Linked DNA regions of Arabidopsis thaliana. The protein of the gene in region 1 interacts with the protein of each later gene in a pairwise test. Each region holds a gene or a part of one and is shown in the gene's direction. Other genes may lie near its edges.

Region 1 (6,369 bases):
TTGTAAGGAAGATGACCGTGAGGAAAATTATGGAGACATATGTGGTATGTCTCTGTGTGATTACAAGAGAATCAAAGAACAAAAGTAGTTTATAGTTTTGAAGTTTAATTTGTAGTATTTTACTTTTGAACTATGTACGTGGTTTAATTTCTTCAATGAATTTAAGATTTTTTGTATTATTTTATTTATAATTAGTGATTATTGAAAATAAAACAATTATTAAAAAATATTTATGAAAACTAAAATTAATTCAATCGGTTATTCAGTATTTGACAAAAAAAAATTAACATCCATTATTTTAAATGATACAATTATTTGAATCATTTATTAAAACTGACATTAATCTTTACATCAGTAATTTACAATCAATACAAATATTTAACATCACTTACAATAATCGAAACAAATACTAACATCATTTTTATTAATCGATGCAAAATTAACATCATCTATTTGCAAATGATACATAATAACATCGGTTATAATAATCGATGCAAATATTTATTTTAAATGATGTAAATTATTTACATCAACAGTATATAAATCATTTATTTAAATGATGTAATTTTCTTTTACATCAATTATAAGTAATACAAATATTTAAAATAAATGATATAAAATGATCACTTTTTTGTAGTGACTGGCTAAACCGATGAAAACAAATATGAATTGAAATCAAAGAAATAATGTTATCTTGTGTAACAAGACTTTGAAAACTTAATTAGCTTATTCTCTTTTAACTTTGGTATAAATAAACAACTTTTATATTTGCTATGAAATATACCAAAAACGGGCTTTGTAATTGGTCGACTCTCTTATCAGAATTTGATGTCAAGACCGCGTGATAAAACATCAAGAACATGGTCTAACATAGTGGAAAGAAAAAAATATTTGATAGTAATAGAATCGTTGAAAATTCAACTATCGTCAACCTTATTCAACAGGAATATAAAACGAAAAACCGTAATTGGCTCGAAGTTTGGTTGAAAAATCAAAAGCCAAAATCTATGAACGAGATTAATCGCCCACTAAAGTCCCTTCTGTTATTGGCACACGCTCTTGTCGTTATAGTTAAAAAGTTCTTCAAATACAGAGACATTTTGTTTATGTACTACATACGATTCGGTTTGGTGAACAAAATATCATAAAACTTGGTTCATGTTGATATATAGATTCATAAGATGTATTTTTGTCTTATATATGTTTCTGTATCATGGGTTAAAATGTTTTACAAATATGTTTTTTTTTTTAAAATATGTATTTATGTATATATGAATCCGTACGCGTAGTAGTAAAATGAATTAGAAAGGAATAGGAATTGAAAATTTCATATTATGTGTATGTGTGGAATCAAGAAATGAATAAAATGATAAGTGGTGGACCTTGTAACCTAAGATCCAGGAAACTACAGAGGAGAGCCACTGATAGTGTGTCAATAATTATTCTCCCACCCATCCACAAAGAAAAGTTAATTTAATTTATCACTCTCAGTAAATTATAATCAAAATAAACACCAACAGTAGTCAACTTTCAACAAATGGGTCTGAGCCTATCCAATATATATAATCGATCGAAGCAATCTATTCGACATTAATGAATCTCATTCATAAAATCATAACGTAAAATAATAAATATATTAATTACAGAGACAGACAATAATGAAAGGTGTGAAAAATGAACACTACAATATAAAAGATGACATTTAAAATAAAATAAAAGAGAGAAAGGGATTAGGTGTGAAATGTGGTGTGTCTATTTAAGTGGAGAAGAGTCCTTGACACTCCATACATACTACCTTTGGCCTCTTCTTCTTATTTTATCATAGCTAAGCTCAAAAACAATCGATAGATGGAGAAGAAGAAGAGCATGTTCGTTGAACAGAGCTTCCCGGAGCATGAAATTGGCGATACTAACAAAAACTTTGACGAGGATGGCCGCGACAAAAGAACTGGTAACTCATCGTTATCTCTCTAAATCTTATATACGCTATGATTCAGACAGCATGATCACATAGATGTGTATATATAACGGGCAAGTAAATAAGTCTCAGCTAGTCCATTGTATTGTATGTGTTGGCATGCAAAATTATGATTATGTTTCAAAGAAGATTTATTTTAGCACGTTAAACAATTCTAGACGCAAGCGTGAAACATTAATAAAAGACGAGAATTTGTTTCCGTTTGACGTTTAAGTGTACACTGAAAATATTTTTTAGTAATTGCGAATATTCTATCTTTTATAGGCGTAAACTTGTTTTTTTTTTCTACGTGTTAATGCGGACATAAACGCAAAATTAGCGTTTGCAGTAATTGCATCCTAAATAACATAGAGTTTGTGTGGTTAATTGAATTGTATAGGGACATGGATGACCGGGAGTGCACACATAATAACGGCCGTGATAGGGTCGGGAGTGTTGTCTTTGGCGTGGGCAATCGCACAACTTGGATGGGTGGCAGGACCCGCCGTACTAATGGCTTTTTCTTTCATAACATATTTTACATCAACCATGCTTGCCGATTGTTACCGTTCCCCTGACCCTGTTACCGGCAAACGCAACTACACCTACATGGAAGTTGTCCGATCCTATCTAGGTCAGATTCGCTATCTATCTTCTTCTTCTTTTTTGTTGGTCAATCACTCTGAAGAACCTTTATGACAAGTAGTATTAAGTTTCATGAACTTCTAGTTTAAACTCGCTCTAAAAATACTAAAAGATTACATTTCAATATATATTCCTGTGTTATATATACACATGCTGTTTTGTAGTAAATATTATGTGAAGTTGGTCTTAAAATTGACATGATGTAAATATCACGTCAGTTTTTATAACCGATTCAAATTAAACATCAGTTATAACAAGCGATGCAAATATTATGTGAAGTTGCATCAGTTGTTAATAAATCGATGTAAATTATTTGCATCAACAAGATACGAATCGTTTATTTAAGTGATGTAAAATTTCTTTACATCAATTATAAGTAATACAAATATTCAATATAAGTGATTTAAAATGATATTTTTTTTGTAGTGATCCCATGTGAAGTTATAATTCATTCTTTCAGCATCATAGTCTCTTGGAGTTTTCTCTTTGTCCTCACCACACTTATTATTCTCTTCCCTTTTAACTATCAAAAGATACCCTCCCCTTAACTTTAAGATTTTAAATTAAGAAATCGTAGACACGAAAAATCTAAGAACTAACAAATATTTTGATAAAGACAGCTTCTAAAATTCAATATCTGAATAGTATCTCTTGGAAAATGTCGTGTTGTGGTCGGTCACATTTCAACACTCTTGTACAAAAGCGTCAACTTGACTTCATGTGACAGTTTTTGTTTATTAGAGATGTTTAGTTGTAGAATTGATGATTTATGTATATAACAACGATATTCTATAGATATATATTGATGTTAAAAGATAAACAGGAGGAAGAAAAGTGCAATTATGTGGATTGGCTCAATACGGGAATCTGATTGGAATAACAATCGGCTACACAATCACAGCTTCAATTAGCATGGTGTAAGTTTTCTTTTTATTTTCTTTTTTTTTATTTACTTCTCTTTTATGATAAATATTTTATTATCATTTGTTAAATAGTCAAAGTCAATAATAGCAAACTCTCCTTTTCCTTAACTTATTATCAAGCATGTTTATTAAGTCTTAAGGCTGGACAACAAATGCCTGATTTTATTAATTTACACTACTACATTTGAAGACAAAGTGCTATGTCTATGATGATAGGCAGCAATATGCTATATAAAATTCCATAAATCTTTTTTTCTTTGGCATGTGTTAGTTATTCGATTTAATGGGCTAACTTATATTGGATCTAATGGAATGTCGAATGAAACAATTTCAGAAAAAAATAAAACAATCAATAATCGAGTTTGATCTATGATGATTGTCGAATTCTGAAAAATAAATTTTTATTTTGGTTAATTATGTTAAAATTATATTGATAAAATATGAATGTTAAATTTTATAACTATTCTTTTGCACACACAAAAAAAAATTATAACTATTATATGAATGAATTGTTTCAATATAGGAAAAAAAGCATTAGACTGACGATGTAAGGATTCATTGAAACAGGGCAGTGAAGAGGTCGAATTGTTTCCACAAAAATGGGCATAATGTTAAATGTGCCACTTCAAACACTCCCTTCATGATCATATTTGCAATCATCCAAATTATTCTTAGCCAAATCCCAAATTTCCATAACCTCTCTTGGCTCTCCATTCTTGCGGCCGTAATGTCCTTTTGTTATGCCTCCATCGGTGTTGGTCTCTCCATCGCCAAAGCGGCGGGTAAATAAAATATACATTCCTATTCTTACAATTATACATCTTCTTAAAGAGTGTGACCTAATGGTTTTGAAGAACGTACAAATAAAGGTGGCGGTGAGCACGTAAGAACAACACTGACAGGAGTTACGGTCGGGATTGATGTATCGGGTGCCGAGAAAATATGGAGAACGTTCCAAGCGATTGGGGACATTGCATTTGCCTACGCATACTCAACTGTTCTCATTGAAATACAGGCAAGTCACTATTAATGTCCTACTGATATTTTGTAAGCATGTTACATGTTGAGGGTTGACTTAATGATAGTAGGAGTTAGGGAGACAGCAATAAGAGAGAGTCCCAAAAAATTGAATTGTGTGCCGTCTGGTCGCAAAGTAAACGTCACTGCATGGACCTACCCATTAAAGACATAGAGTTACTTTTGAGAGGAGACAGTCTATTAGGAAACTTATTCAATTTGAAATCATTTCAATATTGAAAACAATTTAAAAGATTAGGATGAATTAATAAGAGTTCACCACAATCCAGATAACTCATGTTAAAAAAAAAAAAAAAAAAGAGTTTCTGTTAAGTTTGGTTTAGCTTCTATTGTTTTGTTTGTCTATCTCTACTAAACTATTAACAATTGTATATTTCTCTAAACCATGGCAGGACACCTTGAAAGCAGGTCCTCCATCGGAGAACAAAGCCATGAAAAGAGCAAGCCTTGTGGGTGTCTCCACAACAACCTTCTTCTACATGTTATGCGGTTGTGTTGGTTACGCTGCCTTTGGAAATGATGCTCCTGGAAATTTCCTAACTGGTTTTGGTTTCTATGAGCCATTCTGGCTAATCGACTTTGCCAATGTCTGCATCGCCGTGCACCTTATCGGCGCCTACCAAGTCTTTTGTCAACCAATTTTTCAGTTCGTAGAGAGCCAGAGCGCGAAACGTTGGCCTGATAACAAGTTTATTACAGGAGAATACAAAATCCATGTCCCTTGCTGTGGTGATTTTAGTATCAACTTCCTCAGATTGGTATGGAGGACTTCATATGTTGTGGTCACCGCGGTTGTAGCCATGATCTTCCCTTTCTTCAACGATTTCTTGGGTCTTATTGGAGCAGCTTCCTTCTGGCCTTTGACTGTTTACTTTCCCATTGAGATGCATATTGCTCAGAAGAAGATACCGAAATTCTCTTTCACTTGGACTTGGTTAAAAATCTTGAGTTGGACTTGTTTCATTGTGTCCCTCGTTGCTGCAGCCGGATCAGTGCAAGGACTCATACAAAGTCTCAAGGATTTCAAGCCTTTCCAGGCTCCTTAGTGAAAATATGTGTTCTCGCCAACGTCTCCAAGAACACAAGTTCCATGCACTCTCTTCCCTCCAATAAAAGTTTCTATTTCTTTGTAGTTTATTGGTGTGAGACAATCTCATACCAAAATATTGTACCTCTACTTGCTTGTCTTAAACAAATCTATCATCAGTTTATCCCATTTCCTTTTCTTGGTCCTTGCGTTACCTCAATAAAATCATTAAACAAAGGGGAAAAAAGAAATCAGAATATGCTAAAACACAACACAAATTAAGGAATAACCTATCTTAGTATATGAATGTCCCAGTTCGTCTTAAGTCGCTGTGCCAGCAACAAAGGCTACTACGGAGAGAAACAATATACCATAGTAAAATGAAAAGTGATCTCTGTAAATGGACACCAGCAACGTTGGTAGTTATGATTTGAAATCGCTATTATGACACCTCTCCACATACTTGGGTCTTAAGCAACTATACTCATAGCTTTTTTTGGTTGCTTTACTGTGTAGCTGCGACATGCAGAAGTACAAGGCCAATAGCTTACACGTTAAAAGGGTTGGTTCTTCTCTCACAAGGTATAAAACAACACTTTATTCATAAATATGTATATTTTTTTTGGGTCAAAATTCATAAATATATATTGAAATTTAAGTTTTTGATGGTAGAAAAAGGGGTTAAATGATTCATGGAATTGGAAAAACTCTCCTTAAGCTTCGCCTACTTGCTGAGATGTTTGTTTGATCCAATGTGGGTAATTGTCGGAATGCAAGCA
Region 2 (5,273 bases), on another chromosome or scaffold:
GAGAAGGGCGATTTATGCATCAAAATATAAGTTGAGGGAGGTTTCTTAAACAAATTAAGGCGTTTGGAGAAGAAATTACCATGATCATTTCTGAGAGTTCTTTCTCGAATTTAAATTTTTTTTAATATAAAATATATTTGCGTTTAGTTTTGAAATAATAAGTATAAAAATATTCACCAAAAACAAAATAAGTATAAAAATTGTAGAATTAAAAGTGTATAGCAAGAATTAGTAAAAGTGGATAAATACAGATTAATGGTTAAGAAAAAATGTGAACTTGGCACATAAAAATTAAAATTTCTCTTTTTCAAGATCTAGATTGAAAGAAATTTTGAAAGATAACTTCGATAAAACGACCATAGATCCACAAACCCTTATATAATTCCGCATTTTTGTCTCCAGATATTATCTTCGATTGGAAATTCTCTGTTGCGTCTAGATCTTGTCCTCAATTTCATCATCTTGCTCTATTATCATGAATCTCACATCTTGTCCACCAATTAATCTGTATTTATTCAGTGGTAGATTTTGAAAGATTCTCATTTGAAATCAGCCTTTGAGCAAATCAAACGATTATATATTATTATTTTTGGTGTATTTTATTGTTAAAACATTTTCCAAAAATTTTACCATTTCTCACCATTAAAACAATAAAAAATACAACATTTTTTTGTATGTTTAATATTTGTAATATAATTTAACTTGAATACTGATTTTAATTATTTCATATTTCAGATGTTTTTAGTAATTGAGGTAATGAAAGGTAATAAGCACCAGAAATTTCAGATAAACTTTTGACCACCAGCCATATTAAACATTTTAATTATGGTTTGAATCTTTCCTCACTTTTTTGCGTATGTACGTCTAAACTAGATTTTAACCCGCGGTATACCACGGGAACAATTTATTTTTTAAAGTTAGTATATATATAAAAGTTTACAAATTATATCTATCTATAAAATAATTTTATTTTATAGTTTACAAATATTATTAAGTAACGTCCTGCCAAACCCGTCCTGTAAAAAAAACCATTTATTTTATTAATGTTGATCTTATTTATGATATGTTTATGAATCATTGTCTAAATATTTTGTAATTTTGTAGTAATTAAATGCTATCAGATTATATCTCTGCGCTTTGATGATTATAATCGAATTGTTATAGTTATGGAGAAAAGCAATATCAAAAATGATAATTTTGTAGTAATTAAATGATATTAAATATTTTAGAAGTATTATTTTAGTAAATAATCATGTAGTTAATATGAAGAGATTTTGGGAAGATTGTTAAATGTCAAATATTTAATTCGAAGATTTTCTTTTTAATTATCAAAAACAAACATTAAAATCCAGTGGCAACCATTGTAAATAAATCCGAACTACAGGATTTATTTCACAAAATGGTTGCAAAAATGTATATATAGATCTATCGGATTAATTGTATATCGGATTTTAGGGTGGTCACTAATTTTATAAGTATTATTAGATCGGAAAAAATATTATCAAGGGAAGGAAAGAAAAAAAATTGTAAACTTAGATTGAAGCAGTTGGAAAATATTTCTAGACTATAAACTTGGGTCCCCAAACAGAAACTTTGAGCTAATTTTGGCTCAAACCTCCAAGCTTGCAATTTTATTTAGCAAAGCAAATTCTTCATGTTCTAGATTTTACGTTTTTGAACAAACAAAATGGAAAAAAAAAACAGTTACTCTCTGGATATATATATTTTTTTTTTCTAAATTGGAAAGTTACATTTGTTCCAGAGAGATTATGACAGCTATTTACCAAAGACCAGACAAAAACAACACAAAAAACTAACAAGACTCTTTTCAAAACCCAAATTCAAAGAATGAACACTTTTTTTTCTTCTTTTCCAGAGACTTAAACTTTATAACACAAAAAAAAAGCATTTTCATCCCCAAGTTTTGCTAAGTTATTGGCTTATATTCATGAACACGACTACTTACATTGGGGATTGTCGAATATCATTCTTCAACATATCTTCCCAGGGATTTTGGGATAACCTAAAATCGCCTGATGTGGTTTTCGGCTACTCGCTGCCTCTCCTAGAGATTCAGATAATACTGATATTCTTCTGCATTGTCATGTCTCATATGTTCCTCAGATGCATCGGCATTTCCCAAATCGCTTCATATATGATTGTAAGCAAGTTTTCCATATCTAACTTGGCAAGCACACAAGATATTTCCAATTATTAGAACTACAAAAGTAGATGTAACTTGACAAGCACGTAAATTGTTTAAGGGACAAAGAAGATCATGCATGCGTGCTATTGAAGATATTTTTCAGAAACTGAAATCATATATATAAATTTATGTGCAGGCTGGAATAGTTCTAGGGCCTCAGCTTTTTGATGTACTAGAGAAATCTTCAGGGAAACTATCCGTGGATCCTGCGTTGGATGGAATCGCAGCGTTAAGATGCATCTCGGTGTTTGGAACACTAATGTTTACGTTTCTAATGACTGTTAGAACCAGCAGGCGAGTGGCGTTCCATAGCGGAAAATTGCCCGTTGTGATCGGGATCGTGTCCTTCTTTGCTCCTCTGTTTGGTCTCGGTTTCCAGAATTTTTTTTCTGACAACATCGACCCTCACTACATGCCTCTAACTAAAGCCCTAGGTGAGCGCACTGCGATTGTCATAACTCAATCTTCGATACTTTTGCCTTCCACTACATATATCTTGCTAGAGCTCAAGATCATCAACTCCGAGCTAGGTCGCCTTGCATTGTCTGCATGTGTCATCAACGACATCTTGGGGATTTTTTCCATGATAGTTGCCTCTATACAAGCGACCTACATTCATGTTTCACATGCAACAGCCTATCGTGACACTGTCGCGGTGATCATCTTTTTTCTCGTCGTCTTTCTTGTTTTTAAGCCTATGGTGCAATGGGTCATAGACCGCACACCGGAAGACAAGCCAGTGGAGGATATGTACATTCATGCCGTGATTATTACCGCATTGGCTTCCGCTGCTTATTTTGTGTTTTTCAACATGAAATATATTTTAGGACCATTAATGATTGGCATCATCATACCAGAGGGTCCACCATTAGGATCGGCTCTAGAGGCTAAGTTTGAGAGGCTCACAATGAACGTGTTCTTACCAATCTCAATCACATTCAGCGCGATGAGATGTGATGGAGCAAGGATCCTTAGCCAGTTCAATGACATCTTCTTCAACATCTTCCTAACATTTCTTATACTTGTCATAAAACTGGTCGCATGCCTTGCACCTTGCTTGTACTACAAGTTACCTCTCAGTGAATCCTTGGCTGTTTCCTTCATCTTGAGCTACAAAAGTTTTGCTGATTTTGTTCTCTATGAAGCTGTATTAGACGACACGGTAACCTCCTAACTCGCAAATAGTCGATTATTGGTATCATTTGCCATTAATCTAAACATTTTTTTATGGTTTGGTTTTGCAGTACATATCGCAAGCCACTTACTCGTTCTTAATCTTATATTCGCTACTAAATGCCGGGATTGTCCCTACTGTCTTAAGGAGGATGTACGATCCAAGAAGAAAGTACGTTAATTACCAGAAAAGGGACATATTGCATCTAGAACGAAACTCAGATCTTCGAATTCTAACTTGTTTGCACAAACCAGAAAACGTCTCAGAGACCATAGCATTCCTACAATTGTTGTCCTCACCGAACCTAGACTTCCCTATCGCGGTTACAGTTCTCCACCTTGTGAAGCTCGTTGGTCAGATAAACCCTATCATAGTCTCACACGACAAGAAATTGAAACGGCTTAACAAAGACTCATACATCCATACCGCAAACCTTGCCTTTAGACAATTCGTGTTAGAAAGCTTAGAGTCTGTAACCGTGACAACGTTCACTGCGTTCTCGCATGAAAACTTGATGCACGAAGACATTTGTACACTTGCACTTGACAAAACAACATCGATGATTGTCGTCCCATCGGGGAGGAAATGGACTGTAGATGGGTTATTCGAGTCTGACAACACTGCTATAAGACATCTAAACCAGTCGTTACTCGATCGTGCGCCTTGTTCTATCGGCATACTAGTAGACCGTGGACAATTCTCGCGAAAAAGTATTGTAACGAGCAAAAAAAGGTACATCATTGATGTTGGTGTGCTCTTCATTGGAGGCAAAGACGATAGGGAAGCACTATCATTGGTGAAGAGGATGAAAAATAACCCGAGGATCCGTGTAACCGTGATCCGACTCGTCTTCGACCATGAAATAGAGTCAGATTGGGATTATATTCTTGATAACGAAGGCTTAAAGGATTTGAAGAGTACTGAAGACAACAAAGATATTGATTATATAGAGAGGATTGTGACTAGTAGTGTTGAGGTAGTCAAAGCTGTCCAATTGCTTGCAGAAGAGTACGATCTAATGGTGGTCGGGAGAGATCATGATATGACATCACAAGACTTATCAGGACTAATGGAATGGGTCGAACTACCAGAGTTAGGTGTCATCGGGGATTTGCTGGCGGCTAGAGATCTAAGCTCTAAGGTTTCGGTTTTAGTAGTTCAACAACAACAACAACGAACGTGACATGTTTTGACCGCAAGACTGTGTGTATTCATTTAGGGCAAACTTTTAGAAAATTTTAAGATGTATAAATAGTCATTCATTTGTTTAAATATAATATGCGTATATATTCATACAAATTTTTTTACATTATATACAAATTAAACATACTTAGAATCCATAAGAAGGAATAACCATAAACTTTGATTCAGATTGTTATACTTCCTCCAGCTCAACTCTGTGTTTCTCAATCCGTCCTTTCACTCTTTCACTCTTTCACTAGCTTCTGGTATTCTTAGAACATTAGGTTGCCCAAAGCTGACACTGGTCTGTAAAGTCGAAGCGACTCCATGTTTATCTTCAAGAAAGAAACATGTTTCTTCAACTGCAAGAAACATTGTCTAAGAAGAAACCCTTTGAAAATATTAAAAACATTACCAGTTCTAGTTGGGAGAAAGTTTCTGAATTTGGGGTTTTATATTATATCTTTTGTTAGTCTTTGGAAATCTATCTGTTCATTTCCAATTTAATCTTCGGTTGCTTTGTTTCTTCCTTACTCTTCTCTTTTCTCCACTCCTCTAATATCACAGTGGTCTTGATATGATCAACAAAATTAAATTACAACCAAATGTAGCTTAATGTATATCTGCTTTCTCTAAGGGTTAATAATATCTCAAATCGAGTTTAAGGAAGAAGTATTAAAGACATTGAGCCTATCGATGGAGAAAGCAGGG
Region 3 (5,126 bases), about 16 Mb from region 1:
GACAGTAAGAATTTTCAATTTCTTTTTGGAGGGCAGAGAATCTTTCTCAGGGTTACATTTCGATTAAGTTGTTGCTTTGTGCCTTATTAAGTAAAGTTATTGGCATTTGTAATTTGGAACATTGTTTGATTGTCCACTGTTAAGAGTTTGGTTGTGAGAGAAAGATGTGTTCTTTAGGTGAAGTTAATTTATCCGTGCGTGATTGTTGAAATCATCGATATAGCCTCTTTTTTTTCTAAAGCCACATTCTTTTCTTGGTATATTACTTGCATTCACAGTGCCAGCGCTTAAAGGGAAGGATTATGGCAAAACAAAAATGAAGTATCCAGATTATACAGAAACACAGTCTGGTCTTCAGTATAAGGTCACCCCTCATTAGTCCCATATCTTATATCTAATATAGTTTAGACTATGCGGTGATCATTAACTTGAAGATTTGAGATGCTGCAGGATTTGCGAGTAGGAACTGGGCCTATAGCAAAAAAGGGAGACAAAGTTGTGGTAAGGAAATTTCTGCATATCTATGGTTTTGTATCCTTGGTCTCAAGTTTATCTAGAAGTTTGCTCTGGTTAGAGAGTTTGGAGTTTGCTTTGCTTGTATCTATGTTAGCAAATTAATGTTTCAAAGACCATAGGTTTTGCTAGTAGTTATAAATAATTGAAGCTGGGTATGTTAGGTTGACTGGGACGGTTACACAATAGGGTACTATGGACGCATATTTGAAGCTCGCAATAAAACAAAAGGGGGTTCTTTTGAGGTATAAACACGTTTTGGCTCTTTTTTTTTTTGTTTCATTAGCTACAATGATACAGTCCTTAATCTTTGTTTTCTTTTTGTGAATCTGTAGGGCGATGATAAGGAATTTTTCAAATTTACCTTAGGATCCAATGAGGTGGGCGAAATTCCAAGTCCTTCTAGTTGCTATATGGGTTTTACCGGTTTAAAGAATGGATTTTGTTACTGATTGTATGAATTGTTTCTTTCTGGATGCTGCATGATTTTGGTGTTCCAGGTGATACCTGCTTTTGAGGAGGCTGTCTCTGGGATGGCTCTCGGTGGTATCAGAAGGTTCAACATCTTTCTAATATTTCTAACTCTACACATCCTCCATATGTTTTTCATATAGAACTCACTCTTCACACAAATGGTAGACGGTAGAATGAATCAGTGTAAATAATTAGCTTGGTATTGCAGGATAATTGTACCGCCAGAACTAGGATACCCGGATAATGACTACAACAAGAGTGGGCCGAGGCCGATGACTTTCTCTGTGAGCCTTATGTTTGTTTTATGTAAACATGTATAAGAAAGACATAAGTTTTAAATGTTGTCTCTTTATGTTTGCGCAGGGACAACGTGCATTAGATTTTGTGCTGAGGAACCAAGGGCTCATAGACAAGACACTTCTCTTTGATGTTGAACTCCTCAAAATTGTACCCAATTGATGTAACATCGACAGTCTTAACTCACGTACATATATATTTATTTATGATGTGTATACTACATTGGCACATTTGTGTAAATTGAGCTCAGTTTATATCATATAATGTTAGCTCTTTTTAGGAGTGTTAAAAAAAAAAATAGCCATGCATCACCAACTAACTGTTCATCATGTTAATTCTGCTTCCTCTTTTTAGTTATATTATCCCTTATAGTGAGGTAAGTTATTATAACATTTCATAGAAAGTTTAGAATAAAATGAAATGTGAACACAAAAACCAGTGTAAGCAGCTTCTGTTGTTTTGACTTTATTGAGTAGCCAATGTTGGTTCAATGTCAGAGTCATCATTAATGGAGACTGCAAAAATAAAAGAACAAGTTGCAGTGACGCATTGTAGAAGTCCTTCAATGAGTTTATGTCTTTCAAGGACAAAACATATCAAATGAATCCACATTTCTCTAAATAAGTCCTTTCTTGAACGTTGAAACTGTGGACATCATGGGAGTCCACGTGCAATAAATGCCAGTCCTATATCTACCACTTACCAGCTAAGCTCCGTCTATTTAATTCCATCTTCCCATTTTAAGCTACTGCATTTATACATTTCTCTAACCAATCCTCATACATCCTTTTCTGCTTACAGATTTTGTTTGGCTGGATTAATTATTTCATTTATTAACTTAAGCTCTCTTGCTGTTTTTGGTCACTCTGATGCTTTCAGTTTCCATGGTTTTATGAGAAAATATCATTGATTATGGTTGCTTCTGAGATTAAATCCCCGGTGAGTGTCCCCGAGACTCCGGGAAGCTCCTCTGTGCATCATAGGAAGCAGTTGAGTGTGTTCTTCATAGAATCAGATAACAGACGTCTTGCTCTTGGCCGTGGCTATACCGGAGGAACCACTCCCGTTAACATCCATGGCAAACCCATCGCCAATCTTTCCAAAACCGGTGGTTGGATCGCAGCTTTCTTCATTTTTGGTAACTTTCTTTTCACTTACATCTAGATTATCAGTAGTTCTACGTGCAGTGCAGCTTAGTTTTGGTGGAATGGTTGCAATGTTTTAGGAAATGAAATGGCAGAGAGAATGGCGTATTTCGGACTCTCGGTGAACATGGTGGCGTTCATGTTCTACGTAATGCATAGGCCTTTTGAAAGTTCATCAAACGCAGTCAACAACTTCCTTGGCATCTCTCAAGCCTCCTCTGTTCTTGGAGGCTTCTTAGCCGACGCTTACTTGGGTCGATACTGGACTATTGCCATCTTCACTACCATGTATCTTGTCGTAAGTAGTACTGTTTTGTTCTCTGTATTTTGTTTATTTATTTATTTATGACTTATGGTTAAGGTCTTGTGCAAATGGTGCAATTTGAAGAACATCGTCTAATACGCAAGACCGAACATATGTTATGTGATGGATACTTTGAAATCTTTTCTTTTCTTTTGTTTTGCATGTGAAAAGGGTTTGATAGGAATAACATTGGGGGCAAGTTTGAAGATGTTCGTACCAGACCAGAGCAACTGTGGCCAGTTATCATTGCTCTTAGGAAATTGTGAAGAAGCCAAATCTTGGCAAATGCTTTATCTCTACACGGTTCTCTACATAACCGGATTCGGAGCTGCTGGTATAAGGCCATGTGTTTCCTCATTTGGTGCTGACCAGTTTGATGAGAAGAGCAAAGACTACAAGACACATTTAGACCGTTTCTTCAACTTCTTCTATCTATCGGTCACTTTAGGCGCAATCATTGCCTTCACTTTGGTGGTATATGTTCAAATGGAACTTGGTTGGGGTATGGCTTTTGGCACATTGGCCGTAGCCATGGGGATTTCTAATGCTTTGTTCTTTGCTGGTACACCGCTTTATCGGCATAGGTTGCCTGGTGGTAGTCCCTTGACTAGGGTAGCTCAGGTCTTAGTTGCCGCTTTCCGCAAACGAAATGCAGCTTTCACAAGCAGTGAGTTCATCGGTCTTTACGAAGTTCCTGGCTTGAAATCTGCTATTAATGGCAGTCGTAAAATCCCTCATTCCAATGATTTCATGTAAGGCTTCTTCTTTTGTGTACATCTTCCTATAAGGAAAATAAAACTTAATACTAGTATTTATCAGTCGAATGAATTCATATGCAGATGGCTAGACAAGGCGGCACTTGAGTTGAAAGAAGATGGATTGGAACCATCTCCATGGAAGCTATGCACAGTAACACAAGTAGAGGAAGTGAAGATTCTGATCAGATTGATTCCAATCCCAACATGCACTATAATGCTGAGTCTGGTCTTGACTGAGTATCTTACACTCTCAGTGCAACAAGCTTACACACTCAACACACACATTCAACACCTCAAGCTTCCAGTGACCTGCATGCCAGTTTTCCCAGGCCTAAGCATTTTCCTCATTCTCTCCCTTTATTACTCTGTCTTCGTCCCTATCACCAGAAGAATCACTGGCAATCCTCATGGTGCTTCCCAGCTTCAAAGAGTGGGCATAGGGCTAGCAGTTTCAATCATATCAGTAGCTTGGGCTGGGCTATTCGAGAACTACAGGAGACATTACGCGATACAAAATGGTTTTGAGTTCAACTTCTTGACCCAAATGCCTGATCTAACCGCGTACTGGTTGTTAATCCAGTACTGTCTCATCGGAATCGCAGAGGTTTTCTGCATAGTAGGGCTATTGGAGTTCCTTTACGAGGAAGCTCCGGATGCTATGAAGAGTATTGGTTCGGCTTACGCTGCTCTAGCCGGCGGGTTAGGGTGTTTTGCTGCCACCATTTTGAACAATATTGTCAAGGCTGCGACTCGGGACTCAGATGGGAAATCGTGGTTATCGCAGAACATAAACACGGGGAGATTCGACTGCTTGTACTGGTTGCTCACACTTCTGAGCTTTTTGAATTTCTGTGTGTTCCTTTGGTCAGCGCATAGGTACAAGTACCGAGCTATCGAGTCTGAGGAAGACAAGAGTAGTGCTGTTCTTTAAAGACACCACTTCTGTGTTCTCTTCTCGTTATTCTTTTTGATAAAACAGCAGTAATTGTATCATCCTACTTTGCTTTCCTATAGCTAATGTTTAAGGGTGGAAAATCCGCTAAACGTGATTGTTCGTTTGTAAGAAGACCAATAAAATTAAGTTGTTCAAACGTCGTATATTGGCAATTTCCAATGCATCCACTGAGAAACAAAGCTGGGAAATGAAAACACTGTTTCACAAATTCTGTTACAAAAAGGGTCGAAAACATTACTAATCAATCCTACGACTGTCTAAATATACCTCAGCCCTTTCATATATTGTTGCCTAGATATCACATACTGAGCCGCAGAGTAAACAATGCCTAAAACTCCCAGAACCCTAACTTGAAACACGTCTGTTATTATTACGGCTGCAAAGCTAAGTGGCACGGTCAGCATCGGCGACGCGTCTGTGTGTTTGGTGGTGTAACTCCAAACGTACCTGTTGAATATGATGTGACCTGGTGCTGTGAGTATTAGGAGAGCCAGGTTCTTCACCGCAAAAAACCATTCACGGCCTCCAATTTCGACTCCCCAACCTGTGTTTCCACCAAACCAAACTTCTTCCCATACAGTGTAGAGCGAGGATAATGCCAAATATGTTGATATGGCTACTGTAACCGGGAAGTATCTCTGTTTATCACCAAACCCGGATAAGAGATCAGAGTCTTGGTT
Region 4 (4,216 bases), on another chromosome or scaffold:
GAACCTCACCTAGGAACCGTGTATTGGTTTACGTAGTGCTTGGACTTCTTGTAGGAGCAGATTGCTATCTGTACTCCATTGGACTTCTTTACTTACCCGTTTCTACCTATTCCCTGATCTGTGCATCTCAGTTAGCCTTCAATGCTTTCTTCTCTTATTTTCTTAACTCACAAAAACTTACCCCTATCATTTTAAATTCTCTTTTCCTCCTAACTATATCTTCCACCCTACTTGCATTCAATAATGAGGAGACAGACTCCACAAAAGTTACAAAAGGAGAGTATGTCAAAGGTTTCATATGCACCGTTGCTGCGTCTGCTGGTTATGGTCTAGTCTTATCCCTACAACAGCTAGCCTTTCTAAAAGTCCTAAAGAAGCAAAATTTCTCAGAAGTTATGGATATGATAATCTACGTGAGTCTAGTGGCCAGTTGTGTTAGCGTGGTGGGGCTTTTTGCTAGCAGTGAGTGGAAAACTTTGAGCAGTGAAATGGATAACTACAAACATGGGAAGGTATCCTACATTATGAACCTAGTGTGGACAGCTGTTACCTGGCAGGTATTCTCCATCGGTGGCACAGGACTGATCTTCGAGCTCTCCTCTCTATTCTCAAATGCAATAAGCGTTTTGGGACTCCCAGTGGTTCCTATCTTGGCTGTAATCATTTTCCATGACAAAATGAATGGGTTAAAGGTGATTTCTATGATCCTAGCTATTTGGGGTTTCACTTCCTATGTCTACCAACAATATCTTGATGACAAAAACTTGAAGAAAAATCATGAAATCACAACAACAGAATCCCCTGACCCACCAGAAGCAGAAGAGTCAACTTGGCAATCAAAATAAGCTGATATTTTGAAAGATGCTGTCCCGCAGTTTACAGACTCAATCAATCTAGTTAAGTAAACTTACTTTACTTATCGGCCTGGAGGCATCCTACATTGAAGAATACACAATACATTTTTGATGCAACTAATGTAAAGTCTCAGCTTGAAATTTTTTGCATCATTGTAACAGGAAGTAGATTTCATTTAAATAAGTAGTGAATGACTTTGGTTTAGTTTCAATTACGATTACCCAAATTACATTGTAATCTCAGTGAACCAACAATCTTAAGTTTAGAACAGCTGATTACAAAAGTTCATCGTTTAAACTTGGGTTCATAGCAGCTAAAGATTAAATGTAACTCAACCCTGTATGTAACAAGAACCTGTAGGCAGATTGATAAAAGTAGATATTTATTTAATAAAAAACCATGTCAATTTTGTGAGTGTGACACCTGATAAAAATTAACCCTTAGCCATAACTTAAAAAGATTTCAATGCACTATTCCACTTTCTAGTTTTACCTGAAACATTGTGAAACAAGGACACACAGAAAATCATTTCTAATGAAGAAAGAAGAAATATTAATCAGACAGGTCCAAACATCCTTGGTGAAACAGAGCTTTGTACAAAAAGTAAATGACCAGAAATAATACCATTTGGCAGTCTCCATCTTAGCAGTTAATAAAGTGACTTCCTCTGCCATCCAATATTGTGGTGCAAATGTCTTCTTTTGAAAAGAGAAGCGAGACATCATCTCCATAAATGTGTTTCTAATCCACATGCCTGATCTCATAAGAGAAAGATAGTCAGACGGAACAAGCCAAAGAAATTAAAGAAGACGAATAACTTTCAAAATAGACATCCTGACGGTCATACAATCTTACAACTTGTGTGCATGCGTGTTAAGTTTGTGTCTATGCATATGGCTGATGTGTCACACAGGTATAAAATACTGAGTGACTAATGGCTACACATCATTTCCTTCTTGATTTGACTCGACTCATCTCTAGATCAACAATAGTGACAAAAGAAATTAAATTCACAGCAAGAGAAGATATACAGTTGGCATTTACTGAATGTGGGGACAAGTACAATCAAAACATAGACGATGACCGATTCCTAATCTCTAAATATATAGCTACAGCGTGTCTCACCCATATCACAGAAGCAATCACTTGGTAGCACTAGTAACCAAGCAATTTGATAATAAGATACCTAATACTTAGAATCTATTCAGAACATTGTTAGTACCTCCTTGTCCATCTCGAAGGAGGGGGATTCCACATCTACTATGAAGGGGGATCAAGAAGTACAAGTCATTGGTGAGTAAGCATAAACCAGTTCCTCGAGAACCTACTGGTCTTTTATCTTCAAATAAAAGACGAAAAATATGGTTATGGTATCTTATTATTCAATATATCAATATTTTTCATGTGTGACAACAAATAAGTCATAATCTAATTTCTTGCGTTATTTTCCATCACTCACCAGTTCAGCAGGGAAAAGAACCAATTCCAACAGATCAAGACGAAAGAAGTTCGGTCAGTGGCAGCCAAACAAAACTATCTCACTCTAATACATACAAACGGTGGCTCCGGGTTGCTATCTATACATTCTTTGTCATTTCAGGCCAATCAGTTGCTACAATTCTGGGCAGACTATACTATGAAAATGGAGGAAACAGCAAATGGCTAGCAACGGTAGTTCAGCTTGTAGGCTTTCCTATTCTACTTCCATATCATCTCTTGTCAGTCAAAACACATACAACAACTCAGAGAGATGGCAAATTAACCTCACTTAGGAACCGTGCATTAGTTTACATAGTGCTTGGACTTCTTGTAGGAGCAGCTTGCTACCTATATTCCATTGGACTGCTTTACCTACCTGTTTCTACCCTTTCCCTGATCTGTGCATCACAGTTAGCCTTCACCGCTTTCTTCTCTTATTTACTCAACTCACAAAAACTTACTCCTATCATTTTGAATTCTCTTTTCCTCCTCACTATATCTTCCACCCTCCTTGCATTTAATAACGAGGAATCAGATTCCAAAAAAGTTACAAAAGGAGAGTATGTCAAAGGTTTCGTATGCACCGTTGGTGCATCTGCTGGGTTTGGTCTACTCTTATCCCTACAACAGCTAGCCTTTCGTAAAGTTTTAAAGAAGCAAACTTTCTCAGAAGTTATAAATATGATAATCTACATGAGTCTAGTGGCCAGTTGTGTTAGCGTGGTGGGGCTTTTTGCTAGTAGCGAGTGGAAAACTTTGAGCAGTGAAATGGAAAACTACAAACTTGGGAAGGTATCCTATGTCATGAACCTAGTGTGGACAGCTGTTACCTGGCAGGTATTCTCCATCGGTTGCACAGGACTGATCTTCGAGCTTTCCTCCCTATTCTCAAATGCAATAAGCGCTTTGGGACTCCCCGTGGTTCCTATCCTGGCTGTCATCATTTTCCATGACAAAATGAACGGCTTAAAGGTGATTTCTATGATTCTAGCTATTTGGGGTTTCGTATCCTATGTCTACCAACAATATCTTGATGAAACAAACTTGAAGAAAAGTAATGAAATACCAACAACAGAATCCCCTGACCGACCAGAAGCAGAAGGGTCAAGTGAGCAATCAAAATAAGCTGTTACTTCAAAGATTGTGGCACACACAGTTTACAGACTAAAGCGAGCTGATCAAGTAAACTTACTTTTCTTTATTGGTATGAAGGCAGCCTACAATGAAAAATAAACATAATAGATTTGTGATGCGACTCAAGTGAAGTCACAGCCTGAAAATGTGTGCATCATTGTAACATGAAGTATATTTTATTTAAATATATGTTGTGCACGATTCTGGTTTAGTTTGGAATAAGATGACCAAAATCACATTATAAGCTCACTGAAATAGCATTAAGTCATTAACAAAGTCAAAACAGCTGATTACAAAAATTCATTGTTTAAAACTCAATCCTGCATATAAAGAGAAGGTGTACACTATGTAGCTTTCTAAGTTTTTGTAATATATCTAGGTGTAAGTAGAGTTCCAATCAGCTTACATCAGGCACCCAACATAGTGAGCCCGAGGATACTTCTTATGCAGTTGTGGCCATTGAACAAAGAATTGATCAGCTATTCTCAACTTGTAAAGCAACAATCCACTTAATGAGAGCTTTTTCACTCTTGCTACACTCTCAACATAAAAGATTGATGACCATCTAATTCCCAGCACCTGTAACCCAAGATGAAACAAGCACTTATGGGAATTCTAGATGTAATGGAGAAACCATGACTAAGAATAAACAAAACACATCCTCTGTTTTTGGTCACAAGTCCATTCAAGGTCATCCAAAATGTAGAGGAAAGAACTGCAAAGAATCTTGATAAAATATTTCCGAAGT

Evidence for each region.
Region 2: the proteins of AAP6 (region 1) and CHX10 interact in a protein complementation assay, tested with the Arabidopsis thaliana proteins (one large-scale study listed by BioGRID).
Region 3: the proteins of AAP6 (region 1) and AT5G13400 interact in a protein complementation assay, tested with the Arabidopsis thaliana proteins (one large-scale study listed by BioGRID).
Region 4: the proteins of AAP6 (region 1) and AT4G18220 interact in a protein complementation assay, tested with the Arabidopsis thaliana proteins (one large-scale study listed by BioGRID).

What each region holds. Positions count from the first base shown.
Region 1 is NC_003076.8:20,141,921-20,148,289, reverse strand, and holds AAP6 (amino acid permease 6), read left to right. Parts: upstream 1-1,599; 5' UTR 1,600-1,848; coding exon 1,849-1,951; intron 1,952-2,357; coding exon 2,358-2,591; intron 2,592-3,425; coding exon 3,426-3,519; intron 3,520-4,092; coding exon 4,093-4,307; intron 4,308-4,394; coding exon 4,395-4,540; intron 4,541-4,955; coding exon 4,956-5,609; 3' UTR 5,610-5,860; downstream 5,861-6,369. UniProt on the Arabidopsis thaliana protein: Amino acid-proton symporter. Stereospecific transporter with a broad specificity for tryptophan, proline, and neutral and acidic amino acids. Has an affinity for aspartate in a physiological range.
Region 2 is NC_003074.8:16,401,348-16,406,620, reverse strand, and holds CHX10 (cation/H+ exchanger 10), read left to right. Parts: upstream 1-1,796; 5' UTR 1,797-1,948; coding exon 1,949-2,161; intron 2,162-2,342; coding exon 2,343-3,368; intron 3,369-3,450; coding exon 3,451-4,563; 3' UTR 4,564-4,730; downstream 4,731-5,273. UniProt on the Arabidopsis thaliana protein: May operate as a cation/H(+) antiporter.
Region 3 is NC_003076.8:4,296,150-4,301,275, reverse strand, and holds AT5G13400 (Major facilitator superfamily protein), read left to right. Parts: upstream 1-2,011; 5' UTR 2,012-2,196; coding exon 2,197-2,422; intron 2,423-2,509; coding exon 2,510-2,727; intron 2,728-2,904; coding exon 2,905-3,485; intron 3,486-3,572; coding exon 3,573-4,422; 3' UTR 4,423-4,588; downstream 4,589-5,126. Other genes in the region: AT5G13410 (FKBP-like peptidyl-prolyl cis-trans isomerase family protein), read left to right, coding at 1-4, 279-364, 451-501, 678-758, 849-893, 1,014-1,069, 1,196-1,271, 1,351-1,446; NEF1 (no exine formation 1), read right to left, coding at 4,704-5,126.
Region 4 is NC_003075.7:10,076,651-10,080,866, forward strand, and holds AT4G18220 (Drug/metabolite transporter superfamily protein), read left to right. Parts: upstream 1-1,987; 5' UTR 1,988-2,077; coding exon of another isoform or gene 2,078-2,117; coding exon 2,118-2,148; coding exon of another isoform or gene 2,149-2,194; intron 2,195-2,317; coding exon 2,318-3,459; 3' UTR 3,460-3,712; downstream 3,713-4,216. Other genes in the region: PUP10 (purine permease 10), read left to right, coding at 1-845; AT4G18230 (UDP-N-acetylglucosamine transferase subunit ALG14-like protein), read right to left, coding at 3,871-4,047.